4 linked regions of the Drosophila melanogaster genome follow. The protein of the gene in region 1 interacts with the protein of each later gene in a pairwise test. Each region holds a gene or a part of one and is shown in the gene's direction. Other genes may lie near its edges.

Region 1 (8,044 bases):
TAAAATAATCAAAAATTCCTTTGACTATGTGTCATAGATAAGACCATCTATCTGAACTCAATGAAATTTTTGCTTAATTTGCTTCTCCATACTTTGATGACTGAAACCCATGCAAAACGAACTAACTGCAGGTATTTTAATTATTGCAAACACTACTTGCTCAACTAGCAGTTCTTCGAGTGCATCATTTGCTACCTGTTGGCCCATTTATCCGGAACCGAACGGAAGTAAACCGAAATGCATTAGTCAGACAGCAGGCACAGGGGCAGCACCAATTAGCTGGGTGCTGACAAATTGCACAGCTATTGGCATGGTCTGAAAGGGCAGACCCTTTAGAGGCTCTACAGGATCGATGTCTAATGGTTTGACGAACGTAGTCGAGCTGAAAGACGGCAGAACGGAAAACGCAACCGGAAATGAGCGCGACCAAATGTGAAAACGCGAGGCATAAATTATGGTCAGACGGCGCATACATTCATACGTGGCCAGAACGCAATTTGGGCGAAATGGCCTGCTAATAGTAAATTAATTTCAGACGCTTATCGCCGCCAACTGTGGCTATGGCCATATCCATAGGAAAATAATGCGTGGATGTGTCAGGCCAGCAAAGTGCTGTGTAAATTAGCTCGGCTAACTACATATTTACCCATCGAGAGCCTCAGGAATTTCGCAGTAATGCTGTTCAGATAAGCCAAGCGATTGTCTTAAACTTGAAAGGAAGTGGCACTGGAGGCAAACACGAGACTAGTCGTTGGCAAAAAAAAAAAAAAGAAAACAACACATTAAAAACCGAGCACGTTTCGCCATCGTCGGCCCACATGGCGTATGCTTAACTTCAGTCAAAGTTCAGACCACCTCATTGGGCCTTAATTAGTTTCGAATTTGTTAGCAAGCAGCTCCGACACGCGTTTCCGTCGTTTGAAACAAATGTTTTGCCAAGCTCTCTAAAAGGTCAGATCCACAAACAGTGATCACCTGCATCGCCGGCAATATCTGTAGACTAGACTATAGCCTATAGATATTCGTGTACCAGCAAGTGGAGACGCCATATCGGGCCTTTGGATGCCGCCATATCAATGCCTGAATGACGCAGCGTCAAAGTCGAAATAACATATAATTACACAGAGAAAACTGCATTAAAGTGTTATTCGTTTAATTAAAAAGTAAAGATTATTGTATAATGGGCCCCAATATATTAATTAATTAAACTATTTACCAATTCTTCTCTACTGATAAACTCTAAAATGTGTATAAAAAAAAACTATTGCAACGATGACCAAGCAATTTCATCCAACATCAATCCGCCAACAGGTAAACAAGGTACTTTAAAGTAAGTGATTGGAACTTTTACTGATACTTAGATCAATATCTTATACAATACGCTGCCAAACACACCAAGAGTAAATATTTTTCAATAAAAAACCATCAAATTGCTGTTCAAACAGCATCAATAAATTCTTTTCTCTGTAGTGCGCCGGGTAAAATGTAATAAATGATCAGCAAAACGACAAACACACACGGCTTGGAGAGGCCAGACAAGAGGACCACCATGATGGTGATGGTGATGGCAGCGGCTACAAATGGGCAAAGCATAAATACACAAAAAGATGCCAAAAAGCGGAGACGGAGAAAAAACAATTTCAATCATCATGATCATAATTAAAAGGCAGCCAGCCAGCGCACACACACATAGCGAATGGACCCAGAAGCAACATGTTGCTGCTCCTCCGCTGACTGTGCAACTTCGCACTTCAGAATTAAACGCAATTAGAGCGAGCTGGCACAATGTGAAGAGAGAGAGAGAGAGAGAGTGATAGTCAGCGCTTCGTGGGCGGAGCCATGGCATCTGGAAAATCGAGAGGATTTTTCAAAATGGAGGTGCCAAACCAGAGCGGGACGGCTAGCTCCCGCACTCCGTACACTGCCACAGCCAATCGATGGTGAGCAGCAGGTAATCTCGATCAATGGCTCAAGACGGAAACGAGTCAAGCTCGTTCCATTCAGCTCGATCGAGAGATCGCTCTGCCAGCGGAACTTGCTCAGTTGAAATGCGAACTTGGCGAGCTCAAGACACGACCGTCGCCCAAAGATACAAAAAATTCTCTCAATATATTTGTGGTAAAATAATAACCCACGTACGCGACACCGGGCCTAATCAAATTAACACCCACGCACATGAGAGACTTTTGTGTGCCGTGATTTGCATAATTGACGCTAATCGGCGGCGTCTCGTGCTCGGCTAAAAAGTAAACCCGGGCTCCAAAAAAATAGACACCGCCATATGTTGTGACAGTGCTTTTTGTGTGCTGGGGAACAATTGTGCAAGTGACAAACGCCAAACAAAGAAGTTTCGGGCAAAGATTTAGTACTATTTTTGGACCCAACACATCATGATCACCATGAACGAGCTGGTGGATCTGCGCATGCAGCAGCACATAGCACACGAGATCTATCGCCAGCAGATCATGCAGCGCATACCAGGTAAACTGCTTGCCCCCTTCATATCACTCATCCGCCCCGTTACGCGTGCGGCAAAGCTGTTAGCCATCATTAGCATTAATGGTCGTAACTTTTGGCAAACTGCTTTTGTTTCTGTTACTGTCTCAGCCCACCAAAGTTGGCCAAGATCAGCGGGGTGTGTGCGAGTAGCGGTGTTTATGGCCAGCGGATCATAAAGCTGAGTAATGTGGGAAAGTGATCGCCGATCGAGAAACTTGATATCAAATGCATTTTTCTTGTTGCCGACGGTCGTTAAATTTCGGGATCAGCGTACCCCTAAAACAAAATCGTTGTTTGCCAAAGTATCGCTCCTTATTTTGTGGATACCAGATGGAGGGCATTAAGTTTGGTAATCGGGAAAGAATCGGTGTTCCTCGTTCGCCAAATAAGCGTTTTTATATAACCCCATGTTTGTTCGTTTGTTTTTATGACAAATATGTCAGTCATCATATGGATTTATGCCGTAAGATCTCTTTGGATAAGTCAGAAATGTCACACTTTAATTCAGACCCACGCTCTTAAACTAATGGCGACTATTAAGTTATTTGAATGGGTTTCATTTTAGCCAAATACCATGTTAATATGTTTACATAATTTCAATAATTCTTAATTTTCTTTGTTGAAGACTAAGTAGTTTGTTAGATTGCTTGAGCTTTTGTTAACCTATAAGCCCCCTATTGATTATTGTTCTTTTCAGATCCGTTTCCGCCGATGCTGCCAATTCCGATGCCACGGCACGTGATCATGCCACCTCGAGTCACGTTGCCCGGCGTGGAGATGACCCTGCAGAACGACGATCTATGGAAGCAGTTCCATCAAATTGGCACGGAAATGATCATCACCAAGAGTGGCAGGTAGGTTTAGAACAGAGAGAAAAGATCTTTGATGATGAAAATGATGAAAAACCAAGAGTGGGGGAATCTCGAGATATACAGACTTTAGAGATCGGGAACAAACATAGATGTAGCGATGCATTAGCACGAACATGAAAACTAATACCCCAGACGCAGGGCAAAGAATAATAAACCAGCCAACGGGCGCGGGCACTTAAAGCACCCTATAACGATCCCTAGCCCGATCCCTGGCCCGATCCCGATTCCGATCCGATTCAGTAGAGTCCAGCGAGGATGTGCTGCTGTTAAAGGCTCATTAGATGCAGGCGCCTGCAAATTGTTTACAGCGGCGTCGCGACAACGATTTTCACAGGCAAACAAGGCGGAAGGATGCACTTACGTCGGCAGGATGTGAAAATCGAAAATTGAAAATTGAAAATCGGGAAATGGAAAAGCGGTTGCAGGTTCAGCCAAAATTGATGCGCACTGGACATCGGCTATCGCACGAGGCGTAAAGCGAACAAGTTCGCCGGCACTTTGCGTGCTCAGATCGTAGATAGTACGAATCAAAGGCATAGCGCGATCGCCCGGAGCTAATTTATCGTGTATCTATGAGTATCAGATCAGATGCACGACTACTTGCACAAAGGCGACTACCTAAAAGTGTCCGGCACTTGTTCGAATGTGCGTAAAGTGGCGTCATCGTAATTTATTGTAGACCGACCAACTGGACCGATCGGGCGAGCGCCGAGCTCAGTGGGACGTCCTGTCGGTTCGTCGGCGCTCCTTTATGCCTCGCCTGGCATAAATCTTCGCGTCAAGGATACTTTGTCGTCATCTTTGTAGCTCTTAGCGTTTTTATTGTGGCGCCTGTCTGCGCAGCGAACAACCTGCGGCCCCGAAATATCTTCGCGTTCTGCATTCTATAAGATGCTCGTACATATCTGTATCTTTTGGCAGTGACAGTGACCACAGCTTGTCGACAGATACGAGCAATTTCACACTTGCCCTCAGTTCGAGCCGATCAAAAAGGGTTCCCAAACGCATTAACATAAACTTTTGGTCTCGAAATGCATTGAATGAATACACTTCGAGCCACGAACAACCCTTTTGTTTTATATATGCCATGAATTATTCATATAGTCTGCGTATTAAATACTTTTTATGCTCATCAAAAATGTTTTATGGGCATCGGTGGAGAGGTCGCGATGCAATCGATTTGAATTTTTAATGATTAGGCGCCAGAGTGCCACCGTCTGTCCAATCGCATCCCAATCCCCGTTTCATTTCCCATACGGATACGATCCCAAGTCCAAAACCTATGCCTATGCCAAGTGGCGCTCATAAAAACTAATTAGTTGCTTGTCTGGGCTCCGCTTGCCACTTGAACCGTTCCATCTTTTTGGGTGGTAAAAGCGCAGACGGCCATTAAAGTTAGATAGAACAAACCGTATCGCTTAATGTCTGATACTGGCGGCAAATGAAATGACTTTGTCACGATGCTTTTAGACTGTGTGGGCTCCTCCACTCACCAAGAGAGGCGGTAAACAGAAGCGACACGGTAACTTCGATGAGAAGCGCAAATATACCCAGAATTTTCAATTGGATTCAAACTTTTAGTTGCAGAAAGAAAAAAAGAAAATATTTTACCCTTTCTCTAATAAGAAATGTTATTCCTAGTAGACTCATTCAAAACTGGCTTACGATCTGAAGAGTTCAAAATTTATGTCGTTTGCTTCCAGTTTTATAGCTGTCAATTAATAAATAGTCTCACTCTTAATTTCCTAAATATGCTAATTCTGGGAATATCAAGCAGCTATTTATATGGAATTGTAGGGTAAACATTGGAGTGAGCTCTGGATATTTCCAGAGTACCCTTCGGGAGTCCGAGATCCGATGCTCCGTCGCATTCCTGGCTTGTGTCCCTGCACCTGCGAAGCGTCAAGCGCCAAGTCGAATGCCGTCAAGTGGTCAGCATGCTCCTTACTCGCAGTAGAAAATTCCACTGGTAATTATGCGCAGACGCGCCAAAGATATCGATCTTAACAAATCGTTTGTCCAAATCCAGACAGCGGACTCTTGCCAAAAAAATAAAGAAAAAAAAAAACAATAAACAAAAACTGAGAGCAAGCAAATTGAAAATGAAATTCTAAACCGCACAAATGTCGAAATATTTCGGTGCCGTGCTCTAATGGAATTCAACGGAGCTGAAAAGGCAGACCCGAAGCCAGAATCAAATTAAATGTTAGCAAACCGAGGCTCTGTGGATTTCAATTAATTAATCATCGGTTGAGGGAAACACGAAATCATTGCCAAAAACAAGAAACCATTCGAGGATGAGGACGCTGTTGAGGATGAGGACGAAGGGCAAACATTTTTCGGCCAGGCGCCAAGTGCCGTGACCACCTGCTGTTCCTGCGGCAGCGACTTGGAGTTGAAGGCGAGGGTCAGGGCCTCGCATCCTTGTTAGCACAGGGAAAACGGCCCCTACTCCACCGGGCAATCTCTATTTGACCAGTCCTAATTACATGGCGCATGGAAGGGAAATCTCACAATTAAATATTTGTAACGCCCACGCTGGAACCGGGAATGGGCTCCTTTTGTCGTTCTAGCATGACTATATTTGAGTTTGTTCGGTAAACAAAGGCTCTAAGGTTTTCCAGGCGTTTTCCTGGACTTCCCCCGCTCATCTGACACAGAGGAAAATGTTGTAGGAAAGCAGTATACCAACGATTTGGTAATATTTATAAGGGAAATATCTGTAAGATAACTCTCATGTCTAATATGGTATATACAAAAGGTTATGCTAGGTTTTATAACAACTTTGAAATTAGCCATTTATCAAATAGTAAAATATACCATATAATTATGATATTAAAGTCTTATTTGTATTAATAATATAATGAAAAATGATTTTGTCTTATATAATAAGAGACTGATTAAACTAATAAGATGCTTTTCCTTTCCCCTAAAGACGCATGTTCCCCTCGATGCGACTAAGTGTTTCCGGCTTGGAGGACGAGAGCAACTATTGCGTGCTCCTCGAGATGGTACCCATTGGCGACTGCCGCTACAAGTTCTCCGGCTCCCAGTGGGTTCCAGCCGGAGGAGCCGAGCCGCAAAGTCCCCAGCGGATGTACCTGCATCCGGACAGTCCGGCCACCGGTGCCCATTGGCAGGCGCAGCCCATACTGTTCAATAAGGTCAAGTTGACCAATAACACGCTGGATAACAGCGGCCATGTAAGTGCGGCCAGGGCTTTGAAGTCGTCTCCAGTTACTAATCCAAGTCCAAACCCCTTTCGCCATCCCCATTCGCAGATTGTCCTGGCCAGCATGCACAAGTATCAGCCGCGTCTGCACGTCATACGCACCGCTGATCTGGCGCAGATTCCCTGGGCCCCACAACAGGCCTTTGTGTTCGCCGAGACGGAGTTCGTGGCCGTGACAGCCTACCAGGTAAGTGGTGTGCCATCCCCATCCCTACTCCGTTTACCCTCTCAATGGGCGCCATCATTTTGGTAATGAGTCTAGCTCAATGTCTAATTAGTACTCTCAAATAAAATATATATCTTTGCCACACGATGAGAATCCCTTCTAGTTCAAAATCACCTCATGGTATCCTATCTTTGATTAATTCACATGTTATTCACAGACTTATCCAAGGTTGTCTAAAATCGCACTATTAGGTATTTAACAAAAATGTTTCGTCCAAGAGTATTCGAGTCATGTGTCCTCGAAGTTAGCCTTCCTACTTGTGTGTGCATTTTTTTTTTTGCCAATTCATTGAGCAAAGAGACTGGAAACGATCACACTAATTGGTTAATTTTGGGCAAACGAGCGGCGATCGCTCACGCCGTGGGTAGCTTGGTCAACGTCTCGAATTAGCATGGAACGCCTCCGTGGATCGTGTAGTTGGTGGGCAGGGCAGGCAGAAAGTCAGCGGGTCGGATTGTTGTTTTAGGAAGTTGGATAGCCACATCCTTGTAAATTTGAGCGCCTCGCTGTGTTTTTGTCTAGGTCTAGGCCCATTGACAGCCGACGCCAGTCTGCCTCTAATTAGCAAGATCGCCGAGAGATCGGAGATTCGGTTTGAGAAAGATCCGAAAGATCACAATGTTGTCAAGTCATCTGGAGTGGAACTGAGCACCGAGAACTGGAAACGCAGTCTGGTGTCAAGTGGCCATGTTACTTAACGCCAGCTACTGGACGCCAGTGACTTATGTGATGAGTCTTCTTCTCCTTCTCCATCTCCATCTCCCCGTTGCCCAAGATTATGCTGGCGGCAATCGTCATATTTCACGCTCGTCTTGTTGCCTTCTTCCGCAGAACGATCGCATCACCAAGCTGAAGATCGACAACAATCCGTTTGCCAAGGGCTTCCGCGAAACGGGACAATCGCGCTGCAAACGCAAGATGTCTTCATCGCCAACGGGCGAGGATCAAGATCAGTCGCCGTCACTATCCCATTCTCAGTCCCAATCCGAGTCTGACATGTCGCCAACGAAAGGAGGCGGTGAGACAGCCGGAGGAACATCGTCGATCGGCGATTCGGATGGTCCGCAAATCAAGCGCCTGAGATCAAATGGCTCAGCCTGCTCCTTATCATCATCGCTGGACGATCAGTCGGTGCCTGGCGCCAGTTCTTTGGCCCTGGGCTCTCCACCGCCCCATCTACATTCGCATTCGCATCCGCATCCCCTCCAGGCGAGG
Region 2 (4,986 bases), on another chromosome or scaffold:
TGTTTCTGCCCAAATGAAATCCAATTAGCCGACTACAAGGCCTACCAACCAACGACTGCCAGCAGCAGCAGCAAAACAGCAACAATGACATTGCGAGGCGGTACGAAGAGAAATGGAGTTCGCCTCGTGACTTTTTCCAGAGTCCTTTCCACTGCCAAGTGGTGTGCGTGTGCTTTTGTGTGCCTTGCCAATTGAATATGCAGTAATTGCCTTTCTTCATTTTTGGCCATGATTTTTTGCTCGTGTCTGACACAGAAACATGGCCAGTTAAGTGCAGAAATGAATATTTATAGTCGTTACTTCTAGGATCGGACTCCGTTTAAATGCAAAGTGAACGGTTTGATTCTGCAGCCCACTCTCAAGAAAAATTGAATAATAATCAAATTATGAATAATGATATTATAAAGATAGGTAAAGATATGTAGATATAATTAACTAACATAATTTAACATTGAACAAAAAGCTGCATATGCAGCTTAAAACCAGTGATCAATATGTACATACATTGGCACTCTTTTAAATCACAGAATAGTATTTGTGAGGTACAATATAAGACCTTAAAGCAAATCATGTTTAAGAGTAACCAAACTGTGCAAGTAGAGATATAGTAACCCTTTATTATGAAATATAGATATAATTATCCTCTGACCAGTAGCGAATCTCCTAAGCGTAGTAATGCATTATCCAAGTTATCGCAAATAGGATTTGGGATTTTCATAACATTGCCTTATTCTGAAGGGGTTCACATTCCACATCTCGACTCAGCTATCTCAGCTAATGAAAACGGAGTACGCAATCGCTTCTGGCCACACACACGCATTCCATCCAGGCCGGCTAGAACAACACCTGAAACTGAGACTAAGACTAGGACCGAGATCCCGGCCAGCGATGAGCAGTAACATGGCTCGTGCCCAAGAAAAACTGTCAATTAACCCGTGGGGTGAACTTGTGGAAAATGCCAGAGCTGCTGCATCCACTGCATGCCGCGCAATTTGCATTCGCATGGCCGGGGCAAATGGATTGGATTCCTGTGGCTTCAGCTCGAGTCTGCTTATCGCAATCGCCGCCTGCCAAATGCCAGGCGATAGCGCGTAGAACTCTTGGCGCTAATAAAGATCTCAGTAGTAAGCGGTGTGAGGTGGTGAGGGGTGACATTAGGCGGTGGTGCAGGGCAGCCCTCCTGGCCAAATCCGCTGCTTTGTGAACTCAAGCTGACAGAACGCTATTTCCAATTGTGCTATTAATCTGCCACATTTGCACTTCCGCGGAAAAGAGTCGGCGGGCGGATGTGATCTCTTTCGCTCGTCAGTTGGCTGACTCGCTCTGCAGGGGTGATTTGCGGGCGAGCGAGTGAGACAGAGCGAGGCAGAGTGGTAACGCTTGGCTAACCTGAAAATAGAAACAATCGAAATAAAAATACATTCTCTTCATGCTCTCGTCTAATAAAAAACCCCAAAAGCAAAACGTTTTCCATTTAAAATGTCGTCGCAACTGCCAGCGGGAAGTGGACGTCGAGAGTGGCAAGTGTGTGGGGCAAACTCCGGCCAGCGGCCAATGGCGGTTGGCCGAGGCCACGCCCCGTGGCTCAATTACCGACCAGTGCTGCCCATCGGCGGGCAGAGCGAAACCTGTTTCCACGAGCGAGAGGCAGTCAGGCGCATGTGCGATCAGAGCGGGATGGATGGCTCAAGGGTGGACCAACCAGAAGAGGCAGGTTGCTGGTATTATGGTAGGTTAGGTTCAAACAAGGTGGCAAACTGGCTCTTAACCGAAATAGGAAGGAAGTCGGCAGCGGCGTCGACGTCGGGCAACTGGTTTGACTTGTTTCCGGCTCACTCCAACAGCCCAAACCCACCAGCAATCGGCAGAGGCAGCCAAGTCGGCAGAGGGCAGGCAGAGCAGCGGCCGTCGGCACAATTTGATTGCATTTATGAAAAGCGTTTTCGCCCGCTAGCACGCGTCCGCTCCCAGCTCGCAATTCGCCATCCGTAATCCGTAAACTTTAATCCGTAGACCGTAATCCGTGAATCCAAAGCAGTTCTCAGTTGGAATTTCCCGCAACGGGTAGTGCTTAAGCGCGGAAACTGAATTGAAATCAATCGGACGATTAGTGTGTGCTTCGCGGTTGAAACACTCTACATCTAACTATTAAGAGAAAAGAGTGCCCAATAAGATTCGAAAAGTGCAGTGAGCGAGCTCCAAATTGGCGCCACTAATTGCCAAAATGTCCAGCCACGAGGAGGATGACCATGAGCACGAGAACGAGCACGGCGAAGAGGTGGAGGAACAGGAGATCCACGTGGATGTGGACTCGGACTCGCGGATGTCATGTGGCAGCGGATCCGATGTGGATATGGACGGCGGCAGCTGCTACGACGAGTCCGAAACGCCATTGAGGTGAGAAGGAGAGCTTTTAAATAGAACCAGGAAGTAGGAAAAATGTCCCAAAAATATAGATATTATCAGTATAGATATACCATAAATAAGCAGATCTTCCAATTACAATAAGACTTCTACATATACATACATATATTATTTTTTTAACTAGATTGTGATAAAATGCTTTGGCTTCCGTACTACTTACTTAAAACTGAAGAGGCCTTTTTTTTTAAAATTCATTTTGGTAAATATTTTTCAAATATGAATAACGTCTGAATTTATGTACGTTGCAAAATCGAACAATAAAAAATATTTTTGGTTTAATTGTATCGTAAATAATCTGCTACACTAAACTTGAAAAGAGATTGCATCTCTATTAATAATAATAATGGCTTTACTTTCAAATTATACGATGTACAAACATAATAATTGGTCTGAAACAATTCATTACGGAAAATCCCCAAAAAAAATATATTAAAGAAAAAGCTCAGTTTTTCGTTTACTCTTGATGGTTATGATCATCATGCAAATTAATAAATATTTTTTTGTAAGTACTGGGCTTGATTTAGTTGGCCACATTATTCGTTAATTACTCATAAGTCAAAATTTAGATCGACAGCAATTTGATCGACTAACTGAGAGAAAAAGATCTATAAGCTATAGTTATAATAGTTGGCATACAGTCTTATTTTATTGCCCTATAAAAGTCAAACAAGTATTGTGGCGGAGAAAAGCTATTTGCATTTGTTATTACGAGCTCATAACTCCCACTGTTTTACGATCTTTAACATTGTCACTCATAATGCTCACAAATCCTATTTTTCGAATCGTGGCTCAACGCCATTGAAATGCGTTGATGTTTAAGCCCCATTGTCCGCTCTTACAAATGGTCCCATTTTCCAGCGACAAAAGGGGATAACAAGATGCCAGAGCATCCAGCAGACCGTGTTAACTGATCCCATTCAAGCGTTTGTGCGCTTAGAAGAACAGTGTGAACAAACCTCTTAAACGCTAATGAATTGACCACAAAGCCACCAAAAGAATCAAGTCGAAATGTCCCATAAAGTGCCAAAGAAACTCCCTGAATTTACATAGTTCACGGATGGCCAGGGTTTCCAATAGACGACGACGATAAAACGCACATTAGTAAGGCGCCAAAAACGGGCTGTGATAAGACATTGGGGTCCATTTGGGGCTCAATCTGGAGTTGGATCTTCGGCTTGAATGCCGGACAAAGACGAAATCGTTTGTCGGATTAACATTTTAATAGAGATCGTCATAAAAATGCCATAAAACCCGCGTTCCAGCGAATGTAGATCACCAGATAGCAGCAAGTTTTGGCCAGTGAAATAATATGTGTTTGCTCATAACTTTTGATATTGGAAAGTGTCTGTGTGTCGGTGGTTGGCGATTTGAGATCATTGTTCCGATACAATTCCATTCCTGTTCCAAATGGGTTTTTACTTTTTGGATTTATAAATTAAATGCCGTGCGTGACTTGTTTTCGGTGCGTCAGTTGATGGCATTTGATGATTTATGGGCGCGTATTAAATGCCTCTAACGGCCGTCAGCATTTGCATAATTACTTCATTTCCAGCCGCATTGCGTATACGCAGCGGTGGCCACACGGGTTCTGCATGTCATGTCGTCAACTCGGCTTATCCGCTCGCGTGGGCTTTTGGTTAGTGGTTCCGAGACTGGTACGCACTGCAACAGACTTAATTATAGTCAATGTTCTCAGGCTTTCCCGCTTATCGGGCGACACATTTTAATGAGCCCGCACCTCCAGAGGGCTTCTTTCCCTTCGATTCTGATGTCTTTTCTCCGGTTTTTATTCCCAGCGAGTCCCTGCAGTCGGAGCAGACGCGCTCCTCGTCCAGTGAGAATCTGCCCTTCAGCATATCACGCCTGCTATCCAAGCCCTTCGAGACGAGTCACCACCACCACAACAACAACAACCACCTGCTCAGCAGCAGTCCGGGCTCCAGCAGCAACAACAACAACAGCGGCGAAAAGGGCGAGGAGAAGGAGCTACTGCAGCAGGAGGACCACGACCTGGCCTATAAGCTGGCCACCAGCATCGCCAACTCGACATACGGAAGCGCCGCAGCACTATACTCGTATCCGCATCTCTATCCCTCAGCGGCCGGCGGTCATGTGCTACGTGTACCGCCCCAGAGAACGCCGCTCACCTGGGCACTACCGCCACTGCATCACGCGGCGCTGGCACATCAGGCGGTCAAGGATCGGTTGGCAGGTGAGTGAATAGCAGCGAAGTCAAGAGGGTTTGCCAAATCCAACCCATTCGGGGCCCCCATGTCGGGATGGCCCATGTTCGCCGAGATCTTTCGGGGGAGCGATCCTCCAATGACCCGCGGTGGCAATTGCTACTGTTCCCCAAATAAGCACGATCAGAGAAGACTTTTAAGGCAACATGCCTATCGGCATGTCATTGTTGGCCAACACATTCGTGCACCAAGAGAAAATGTGGCATTTGAAATAAAAGAATTGGTAACATTAAGAATAAAAATGTTATATATGTGCCTACATAACGCGTAGTTGGATGCATTCAATTGTGCAATAGGGTGTAGGAACATAATTTTAAAC
Region 3 (4,835 bases), on another chromosome or scaffold:
CTCGCTCGCACCCGCGTCTGCCCCTCTCGCTCGCACTCTCGCTCTCTGCCTGCGCCGCCATCCATCTTGTGCGTTTGTGTGCCGCGCTTGTGTGTGTGCGGTCTCTGAGAATGCTTTATGAGTGTGCGTCTGTGGCGGACTCCTCCCTGTTTACGACGCTGGCAGCGCCGCAAGCAGAAGCAGCGGCTGCAAAAATTCGGCCAACTTGTGTTGTTGTTCTTTTTCCGCTCCACAACAGCTGTGGGAGAGCGAGAGCGTAGGAGAAAGAGAGAGAGTGAGAGCGATGCTGAATTGTGATTGTGTGCGTGTGAGTGATGGCCTGCATGTGTGCGTGCATGTGATTTGTTGTTGGCGCGCTTCGATATAAACTCGGCCATGATGGTTTTGCCGTCGGCAAGTGGATGTTTGGATGCCATACTCCCCGGTTCCAAGTACCGTATTCCGGGTTCCATAATTCACGGCGGCCATCATTCTCCCGATTATCGAATGTTAGCCGATAATGAGATATCAAAACGTCTAGATATGACTTCATCGGGCAAATCACATTTGCTATACAAAACTGTTAATTATGTATGGTTGTGGTATATTTACAAAAATAATTATTAAAAGATACGTTTATACGTTTATATACCATATCTATAAGCGTTAATTAAGAACATCTAAAAAAGATAAAAAATCGAGACAATCGAAATCAAAAACGTTTTTTACTCTTATAAGTACTTAAGCAGCATAACAATTTACAATTATTTTACATAATAGGCAAACAGAAACTTTCGACCTTTCCATTGCAAAACCCTATTTTAGATTATTTTCACTGGTAAAATAAATAAATAAATGAGTTTGTAAATTAATGATTCAGTCTGAAGTAATCGACGGATTGATACTTTAAAAACTAAAAAGTCAACACAAGGCCTTTAGAGAACCGTATTTGTAAATTGTACAATTATTTTAATTGATTTTATAGAAGGTGGTCTCCCACAAAATGGTAGATTTGACCGCAAAAATTTAAAAACAAGTAAACTGAAGATGTACACATCTTTCACATCGTTACGCTATTTTAAGAAATTAAAAGCAAATGAATTGATTGACCATATAGTCCAGAAGAATGGTTAAAAAGGTATAAAGATATTAAGTTATAAAGATATAGTAATCGCTCTTCGAAATAAAAGTAGAAACTACTCGATAATGCCCAGACAATCGAATTTTAAATAGTTTCGATTTTAGAGAAACTGAAAAGAGCACTTAAGAGAAAGAAACTTAAAATTGAACCTTGCAAAAAATTGTATTTAATAAACCAAAATGAATGAAACAAATTTCTTAAAAACCTAATAAAAAAGTGAAATCAAATATACCAACCAAAATAAATCTGGGAACTGAATAATCGAAAATAACTGGATGTGCATCATAAGATCTTCTTTTGAAGACTGACTACAGTTTGCAGCTCAGCGAGCTCGGGCCGGCAACTCAAGCCGGTCAACTCAAGTCAGGCGCCAATTCGCTGCTCCCACTCGCTCAGCTCTCTCAGTCACTCAAAATGGCAACGAGAGCAGAACGGTTCTTTTGCAAAATACTTTATGACCGGAGCAGAAGCAGAATCGGACCTCTGTCGCGGTCGCAGTCGCTGCCAGTGCTGACGGCGCTGTTGCGGCCGACGCTGACGCACATAAATAAAACGCTCTCTTTCGCTCACGAGTTTCTTATAAGACTTTATTTATATACTGCGCTGCCACCGCTGACTGCGCGCCGCCGCCGCCGACTGCGCTGGATTAATAAGGAGTTCTCGCTGGGATTTTCACATGTATATGCTTTGAATTGAATGCTTTATGGGTTTAGTTTGATAGGAGTCGTAAAGAAATCAACATCACACAACAAAGCACTCGAGGACCCGTCCGTGTTCCGTTGACTTAGCCCACGTGCGACTGTATGTGTGTGTGTGCGAGAGGGATCCCAGCAGCATAACGGTATTCGGTGCCCCGTATTCCGTAGTCGCTATAGCGGCCAATATCTTGGGGCTGGGCTCTCGGAGCTGAACTGAACTGAACTAAACTGAACTGAACTATTCGCATTCGTATTCGCTCGCTCTCCGTCGTCGCGACCGCTCTCTTATCCCAATTGTCAGCCCGCTAAGATCATAAAGGCCGTAAAAATAATCATAACAATAATCGTAAAAAATTAGAACCGCAATCAGTCGCACACTGTCCATCGCATGGCGCAGATCGTCATAAACCCATTATTATAATAATAACCGTAATCGTAACCGTAATCGTAATTGTAATCGCAGGCGCCATCGCATAAACAGCAAACAAAAACACCGTCAGAGAAATTGGAATTGAACTTCGCGCGCGTTTCTTTTTATGATGTTCGAGTGTCTGGCAGGTGTCTGGATTCAAATTAAAATTCATCCACATATTGTGCAATACTACTAATGGATCTGGGCTGACTGTGCTGCAAATGAGCTAGAGTTCAAATTTATCAAGCCAAATCCTACTACCTAAGTGTTTATCTATTCTTAAAAACGCATCGTGCACCGAAAACTCGAATCTGTACAACAACGTTTTCTAGTCCCCCGTAAATCGAGCAATATCTACACACTAGCAACAAACAAAAGCTGAAGCTTTCAACTCAAACCACAACAAATTCAACAGAAATAAAACGTAGACAGCCAAAATAACACAAAAAAAAAATAAATAATAAAAAACAAAATACATAAAACGGAAAAGAATAAGGAGCGGAAAAAGTTTCGATTCCACTGCGGGCAAACTTTTTATTTTGGCGCACGTGCAAGCTACCGTTAGCTGAGAATTCCAAAAGCCAGCAGGATTGAAGGATAAGCGCACGTTATTGGATTTAAGAGGTAAGTGCCAGGGCTCGACTTTTCAATTTCCTCACCTTCTTCACTGAAATCAAAATGGTTATATGTTTCTTTTATTGGCCAATTGGGATTAAAATGTCTTTATTCACAAAAATGGTTAATGCGTTTTGAAAACAATGCTTAAATTGATTATAATTATATTTTACTACAAATTTTATGTTATTTCTGCCTATCCAAACTATTTCAAATATTCAATTTAATAATAATCGTAACTGAAAGTGAAGAAAAAATCTTAACTTTAAATTGTAGTAAAAAATCAATATTGTTAAATAATTGCAAAGGTAATTGTACATGTAATGTAATGTCATCTATGCATACCGTCAAAGAATTATTCGATTGTCACTAAAAATTATATATAATTTTTAAACAAAAATGATTGTGAGGTTCTCTTAACATTATTTTTGAAAAAATGGTTGACATAAGTATATTATGTTACTATTAGCTGTCCATTAAATGTTTGAATAAAATCAATCATTTCAATGAAGCTTACATGGATTAGAATATCAGTCTATGTATATGCCGACGGAAACTTTATACATTTCCAAATACTTGTCTAAATATGTGGAAGTTTTGACATTAATGACTCTGTACAAAGAATAGCGCATCTGTTTCTCGATGTGCAGTGGGCAAGGTATAAGTTTTTTGCCCGAACTCAGATTCAACACTTCATAACTCAAAGGGCGTTTTTCGGAAGCTACAGCCAGGTCATCACTCATTTGGCCTGCAAACTGCAAACTGTTGACAGGCTTATTAGCCATTTGCATAAATTTGCAAAGTGGGAGGAGGGGTGGTGGGATGCTTTCAGGAATCCCGGGAGTTGAAGCTGGAAAACTGAAAACGGAGCTCCGAACTTAACTGGCCACGAGTAATGGGCTCTTTGAACTTGGAATTCGTTTTTGAATTATTGCGCATATCCTGGGCAACATAGTTTCACTTCCGAATGGTGGGAAAGGGCAGCCATTTCTCTCTCAGACACACACGCAAACACATTCATACACACACACACACACACGCACATAGTTGGACGAACAGGACACTCTCGGGTTCTCCGCATAGAAAATTTATGCGGCCATTGTTGCAGTGCATTGTCCTTGTTGTTGCTGATTTTGTTGTTGTCCTAGTTGTCTGGCCTTTGCATATTTGTCGTCCTCTCTGTCTGTCGCTCGCTACCTTTTACCTTTCTCTCTTTCTCCATTCCCGCTCTCTCATTGCACTTGCGCCCCACAGAGGTGCGGAATTTATTCGTAATTTAATAAACATTTAAAAATCTGTTCCATAATTTGGAAAGTATCTCTAGCGATCTGTCCAAAAGGGCTTTAATGAACTTATCCTGGCTTTTACTTTCAGCCTGCTTATCGTTAACACATTTCCATTTGCATTTTTGCCAGCTTCGATTTTTGCAAAATCAAATAGATGGCATCAAATGAAATTATTTTCTCATAATTTATTGATTTTATCAGCTGGAAATGTTACACAGCTGACAAAATCATAAACTCCGTTCTGTTTGCCCGGCAAAAACTTTTATGATTTATGGCCGAGTGACAGACAGAAAAAACACCGATGCAATTGGGAGAAATGGGGGGAAAATATTCAAAATTTGTATGAAAACGCACATTTCCCTAGACTATTTTTGTTTAAGTCCTACAATTCTTTACTAACATATTTAGACCCTTATACATGAGCAACCACTTCCTTTTAAACGGATTCTTAATCAAGTTCACACTCATGGCAAAGCAGCAAAAAGATTTATACATCAGCACACCAATGGCGACAACTCTTTTGTAAAAACATTAATCACGACCTCTGAGATTCGGCCGAAAGCCCAAAACTTAGCAACAAAAGTAAACGAAATTGTTGTTAATAAAACGAATCCAACAAAAAGCTTCAACGAAAACAGCCGACCACCACAAAGAAAACTTGTTTGACTTGCCTTTGAAATTAAAATTATATTTAAGCCCCCATT
Region 4 (4,816 bases), on another chromosome or scaffold:
AGTTTTTCTTTGTGTTTTTTCTATGTCCAGATTTAATTCAAAAATTCCAACTTCGCGTTACGCGCTGTTTTCTTTAACTAAAAACAAAATACAAACGCTGCTGATTGTTTCATATTAAAAATTGAGCGTGTGTGTGCGAGGGGCAACATTTACAATCGGAGGCAACATGCAAGCGATGATGAAAAATCGCCTGCAACATGTTGGATGCTGCTGGGGACCCTCCATGGATCTAGAATGGAATGGGATCCGAGAGGATGCTATGCTATGCTATGGATTGGGATACGAGAGTCTGGCGCTGGCTGCCCGCTGGCATCGCCAACATCAACTCCAATTACAGAAGTACACGCAGGCGTCTCTCTTATGATTTTTTTTTTTTAGTTTTTCATTTATTTTCCATCATTTGTTTTTTTCTATACTTTTATATGGTTTGTGGATGATGCGGGCCAACCATAAAGAGCTGACATGTGTGTTTCAAAAACACAGCGGAAAACATATGGCAAAAAATACGACTTCTATAAGAAGAACAAATCGAATTGGTACATAAACTTAAGCTATAAATTCCGAAATACGTACTTACAAAATTTATTTATATTTTAATAAACATATTTTCGAAAGAATTGCTGATTTCGCGTTTCGGGTTTCGAAAGTAACCGTTCAGTACCACTTAAAAAAACACTTTTATTACAAGTTCGTATCAAATAAACGTATTAAGTTTATACGTTTTTAAATAAGATAATTTTTAAGACACTCACTATAAATACTTATTAAAACAAACTTTTGCTTTTGCAATATATTACGAATGACCTATGCCATTTATCTGTATTTGGTATATGTTTGTGGTTTCGCAACATAAACGTTAGATTCCAAAAATAAAAATAAAAAAAATAATCTCATTCAAAATCGATTTTGGGTGTGTCTTAACCAGCAACTCATTTTTATGATAAAAAATAGCTAATCAACATTTAAATCTCCGAGACAAACTAATCAATTGAATTCAAATTCAAATGACGCCAAAATCAAACCATATGTGTGTTCAGCTCTGAATGCGATGCTGGATTGTTGGTAGCAAATATGAAATCGACTTTTAATTAAGGCATTTAGCCAAACAAATCAAAATCGTTAAGCCCCGATGCTGAATGAATCATGAGAACTTGAACTTGGCTACGGCCCAAAGAGAACCCGATCCGCAGCCCCGAAACAGACCGATAAATTTAAATTCAGAGACAACTGCCAACGAGCTCGTTTTAAAGGAGGAATAACTTAAGCTTCAGCAGGAGACTTTGCATTTTGCCAGGCCAATAAAAATGGAAATGAACGCGGAGCGGAACGTTTATAAAATAATAATGCGAAATAATAATGTGGCGGTGATTTAGCGGAACAGTGCCACGATTGAATACAAATAAAGTGGGGGAGACGCCTAATCTAGGATGATTTCGGCCTAATCTGGAGCGTGAACCGGGGGCAGATGTGTCCTGGAGTGGCTGCCAACTACCTGTTTTTTCTCGCTTTTCTCGTATTTCTCGCTTTTCTCGAGAGCGCGCTTTTCCCCAAATCGAGGGAAAAGCTGGAGCGCCATAGGCCGGTTGCCGTGGCACCCTCGTCGCATAAATCAAGACTGGGGGCGGAGTCTGCCGTGGGTGCAAGTGGGACAGCAGGATTTTCGAAAATGCGCACTGTCCGTCCTCTCTCTCGCACTCGTTGGCCGGGTCCTCAAATGATTTACAGTGTTCGAAACGCACACAAGGCAACGCACGAGAGGGTCGTTTTGTCGGTTTTTATGGCTCAAACGTGAATTGAACGTGGCGCACTTCAGTCGCCAAGCAGCGCGCTCGGTCTTCTGCAAACATAAAAAGATACAGATACACGTTCTCGTATTCGTACGCGTAGCAATCCGCGAAGTTTCCGCTTGAAAGCCAGTCTTGCGATTCCATGGAAAGCTCTTTGGCGACGGCAAGGTGCCATGGTCTCCCCATAGCGGATACTTTACCGACTAACTCCTTTACATAGGAGCGGAATTACCTACCCACCTCAAATAATTTCTCAAACTGCTCATCTTCGCAAATAACTAAGATAGCAAAGTGCAGTGCAAAAGGCAAATACAATTAATACGAAAATAAAAAGTATACAGTGAAGTGCTGGCTAAGAAAACTAATTGAATTACAACGACTTGTTCGTAGCGTCTGATTGGATTTCCCCAAATCGTCCACATAAAGGTAAGAAAATAACAAACGTAGAAAAACTAAACTCTGAATGTAAGAAGAAAATTTAAGAAAGTTTTGCCCTTAAAGGTTTAAATGAAACCATCGATATATCGTTAAATGGTTCCTTTTAACCTTTCTAAACTTTTCCACTCAAATCATTCTGAATTAAAACTGCACTGTGGTGTGGAGGATTGAATATTTTAGAGTCAATTTAACAAACAATAAATATTGTAGAATACAAAAAAGGTGTCAATTGTAAAAAATCAATATAATATATATATATATATTTTTTATAAATATATATTATTTTAGCAAGTTCAGAAATCCAATTACTTTACTTCTTTGCAATACCTCCAAATGTTATATAAACTAACTGCACACTTAACTAAAAAAAAATATATGAACAACATTAAAAATATATATTAAATCTTCAGAGACAGATTTTACTTCTCCAAACTCCCAAAATGAGTCCCAGAGTCTTGATTTTATCCCAACTAGCCCAAAGTACGGAGTTCGAATGTTTATGATTTGGTCCCCCGAAATCGATCTCACACGGACAGTGTCGGTGAGAACAATAAGACTTTAGTCGCAGTTCGAAACATGATTTTCGAACTACCGAGTAACGATCTCTCTCAATAAGAACTTGTTCGAAACACGCGAGAGCGGTGCTTTTCGAACTACCGCTCTTTCGAACTCACACACACACACACCGATGTGTCGTATTCGTATCCGTGAGATACAATTTGTGGGAACGAATTTCTGGTTTGGCGGTTGATTCGAAACGTTCTTCGCGTCCGCAAAGGTAGTTTCAGCACATGCCTGAGAGCGAGCGAGATGGCGGAGCGGCGCAATGCCCGTTGTCTCTCTCGCACACTTTTCGAATAATGAACACTGCACTTGGACGACGATATGTAGCTGTATAGCCATATAGCCTTACTTGCTCGTACTCGCAGATACAATTGGACGGGGGAAATGGAGCAGTATGAGTGAGCCAGAGCGCTGGCGTATCTGTGTTTTTTATTGATGCTCAGAAATTTGAATTATGCCCGAGCAGTCAAAGTGAGACATTGGCGCTTCGAGCACGTATCCGCGGATACACCGGAATAACAGAAAAAAAAGCACAAATAAAAAAACTCAAACAATCCAACACTCAGCTGTTCCGCGTGTAAAGACCCTCGAATACTGTTCGATTTTAGCGAAAGATGGATGGACTGCAAAGTGCTTGCATCGATGCTGGCGCTGATGGACAGTCATAAATTCGGCGTGAAATTCGCGCAGATACTTAGATACTCCGTCATAGCGCATATACTTATCGTGATCTGTAACAAATTGCGCGTGTGCTTGTGTGTTTGTGATACCAAAAGCCGTCCAAATCCGTCGCTTAGCCCTTTGCGGCCAATTACCCATTAGAACCATCCAAAACATAAGCCTGCAGGTAGGACGCAAAAGTCTAGCCAGTTTGCCCTCAGGATGCCATCGGATTAATTTCCCAGATATCCGGCTGGTTGTGACAATTCTACCTTCGTAATTGTGCACGTTGATTTCCGCACTCAGCACAAGTGAAAATCGTGGTTCAGTGCAGTGAAAATCAGAAAACAAACTCACTTGAACGGAGGTGAACGCCGTCGGCTAACTAAAATTGTGAGTAAACGAGTTTAACGGCTGAAAATATTTTAAGCGCTTTGGAACAGGTGAAAACAGTCATGGAAAGGATATTTATTCGTTGTCAGTTTTTGTTTTGTATTTTCTAGTGTTTTTTTTTTTGATGTGTTAAGAACTTATGTAGCAATATTTGGTCTAAAGCAATTTAATTATAGTTTTTTCTTAACAATTTGATGCGATTTTATTTATCAAATAATATTTACAATAAAAAAGTGCTTTGTTCGTATGTACATATTTTTTTAAGTAACAATATTTCTACCACCTTAAATTTTATTTTTAATCTTACAATCTTTATCTTGTACTTTGACTTTCTTATTGAAGAAATAATACCAACACTAGTAAGTTAAAAAAAAATAAGAAATTTTTAATTTCTTTAATAAATCAATTTAATATTCTTTGAAGAAATCATCAAAGGTGCGTAATAATTTCCCCTGTTTGCTTCTTAAGACACTCCATATCAAATAATATAATTTGAAAAAATCAATGAAATATATTTTGATACCTAGTAACCGAACCCAGAAAATACATTTTATATATTTCCCTATATCGGGGCTTTGTTTCTGTATTCTGTTTAAGCAATTTTTCATAAGGTTGCGTGTGCGGTATCAACGCAAGGAATTTTCACTTCATTAAAGCGAAATGCAGCCGCTTTTGAAATAATTAAGAGGCACAAAGGCGAAATGTCACAGCGAATGAAAAATGCCTAACAAGCGCCGCATATAGAAGGTTAATCCAGACACATAGCGTTATATACCGAGCCCAAGCTGGGATAGGGATGAAGAAATGCCCACGATATAGGCTTGGCTACTATCCGGGGAACTCGAACTCATGCTGGCCAAGACGCCATGGGGCGAACATGAAATTATGTAAAATAAAAGAAGACGCACTGGGCTGGAACTTCATGGGACTTTGCCAATGACCGAGTAAAGGCGATGCTCCTGGGCAGTATTCTA

Evidence for each region.
Region 2: the proteins of Doc2 (region 1) and C15 interact in a two-hybrid assay, tested with the Drosophila melanogaster proteins (2 studies listed by BioGRID).
Region 3: the proteins of Doc2 (region 1) and Antp interact in a protein complementation assay, tested with the Drosophila melanogaster proteins (one study listed by BioGRID).
Region 4: the proteins of Doc2 (region 1) and Scr interact in a protein complementation assay, tested with the Drosophila melanogaster proteins (one study listed by BioGRID).

Annotation. Positions count from the first base shown.
Region 1 is NT_037436.4:9,013,238-9,021,281, reverse strand, and holds the start of Doc2 (Dorsocross2), read left to right. Parts: upstream 1-2,035; 5' UTR 2,036-2,390; coding exon 2,391-2,481; intron 2,482-3,196; coding exon 3,197-3,353; intron 3,354-6,306; coding exon 6,307-6,574; intron 6,575-6,652; coding exon 6,653-6,790; intron 6,791-7,660; coding exon 7,661-8,044.
Region 2 is NT_033777.3:21,498,034-21,503,019, forward strand, and holds the start of C15 (C15), read left to right. Parts: upstream 1-1,952; 5' UTR 1,953-2,224; coding exon 2,225-2,397; intron 2,398-4,220; coding exon 4,221-4,636; intron 4,637-4,986.
Region 3 is NT_033777.3:6,996,225-7,001,059, reverse strand, and holds the start of Antp (antennapedia), read left to right. Parts: upstream 1-1,831; 5' UTR 1,832-2,854; intron 2,855-4,835. UniProt on the Drosophila melanogaster protein: Sequence-specific transcription factor which is part of a developmental regulatory system that regulates segmental identity in the mesothorax. Provides cells with specific positional identities on the anterior-posterior axis.
Region 4 is NT_033777.3:6,846,942-6,851,757, reverse strand, and holds the start of Scr (Sex combs reduced), read left to right. Parts: upstream 1-1,776; 5' UTR 1,777-2,213; intron 2,214-3,252; exon of another isoform or gene 3,253-3,842; intron 3,843-4,816. UniProt on the Drosophila melanogaster protein: Sequence-specific transcription factor which is part of a developmental regulatory system that provides cells with specific positional identities on the anterior-posterior axis.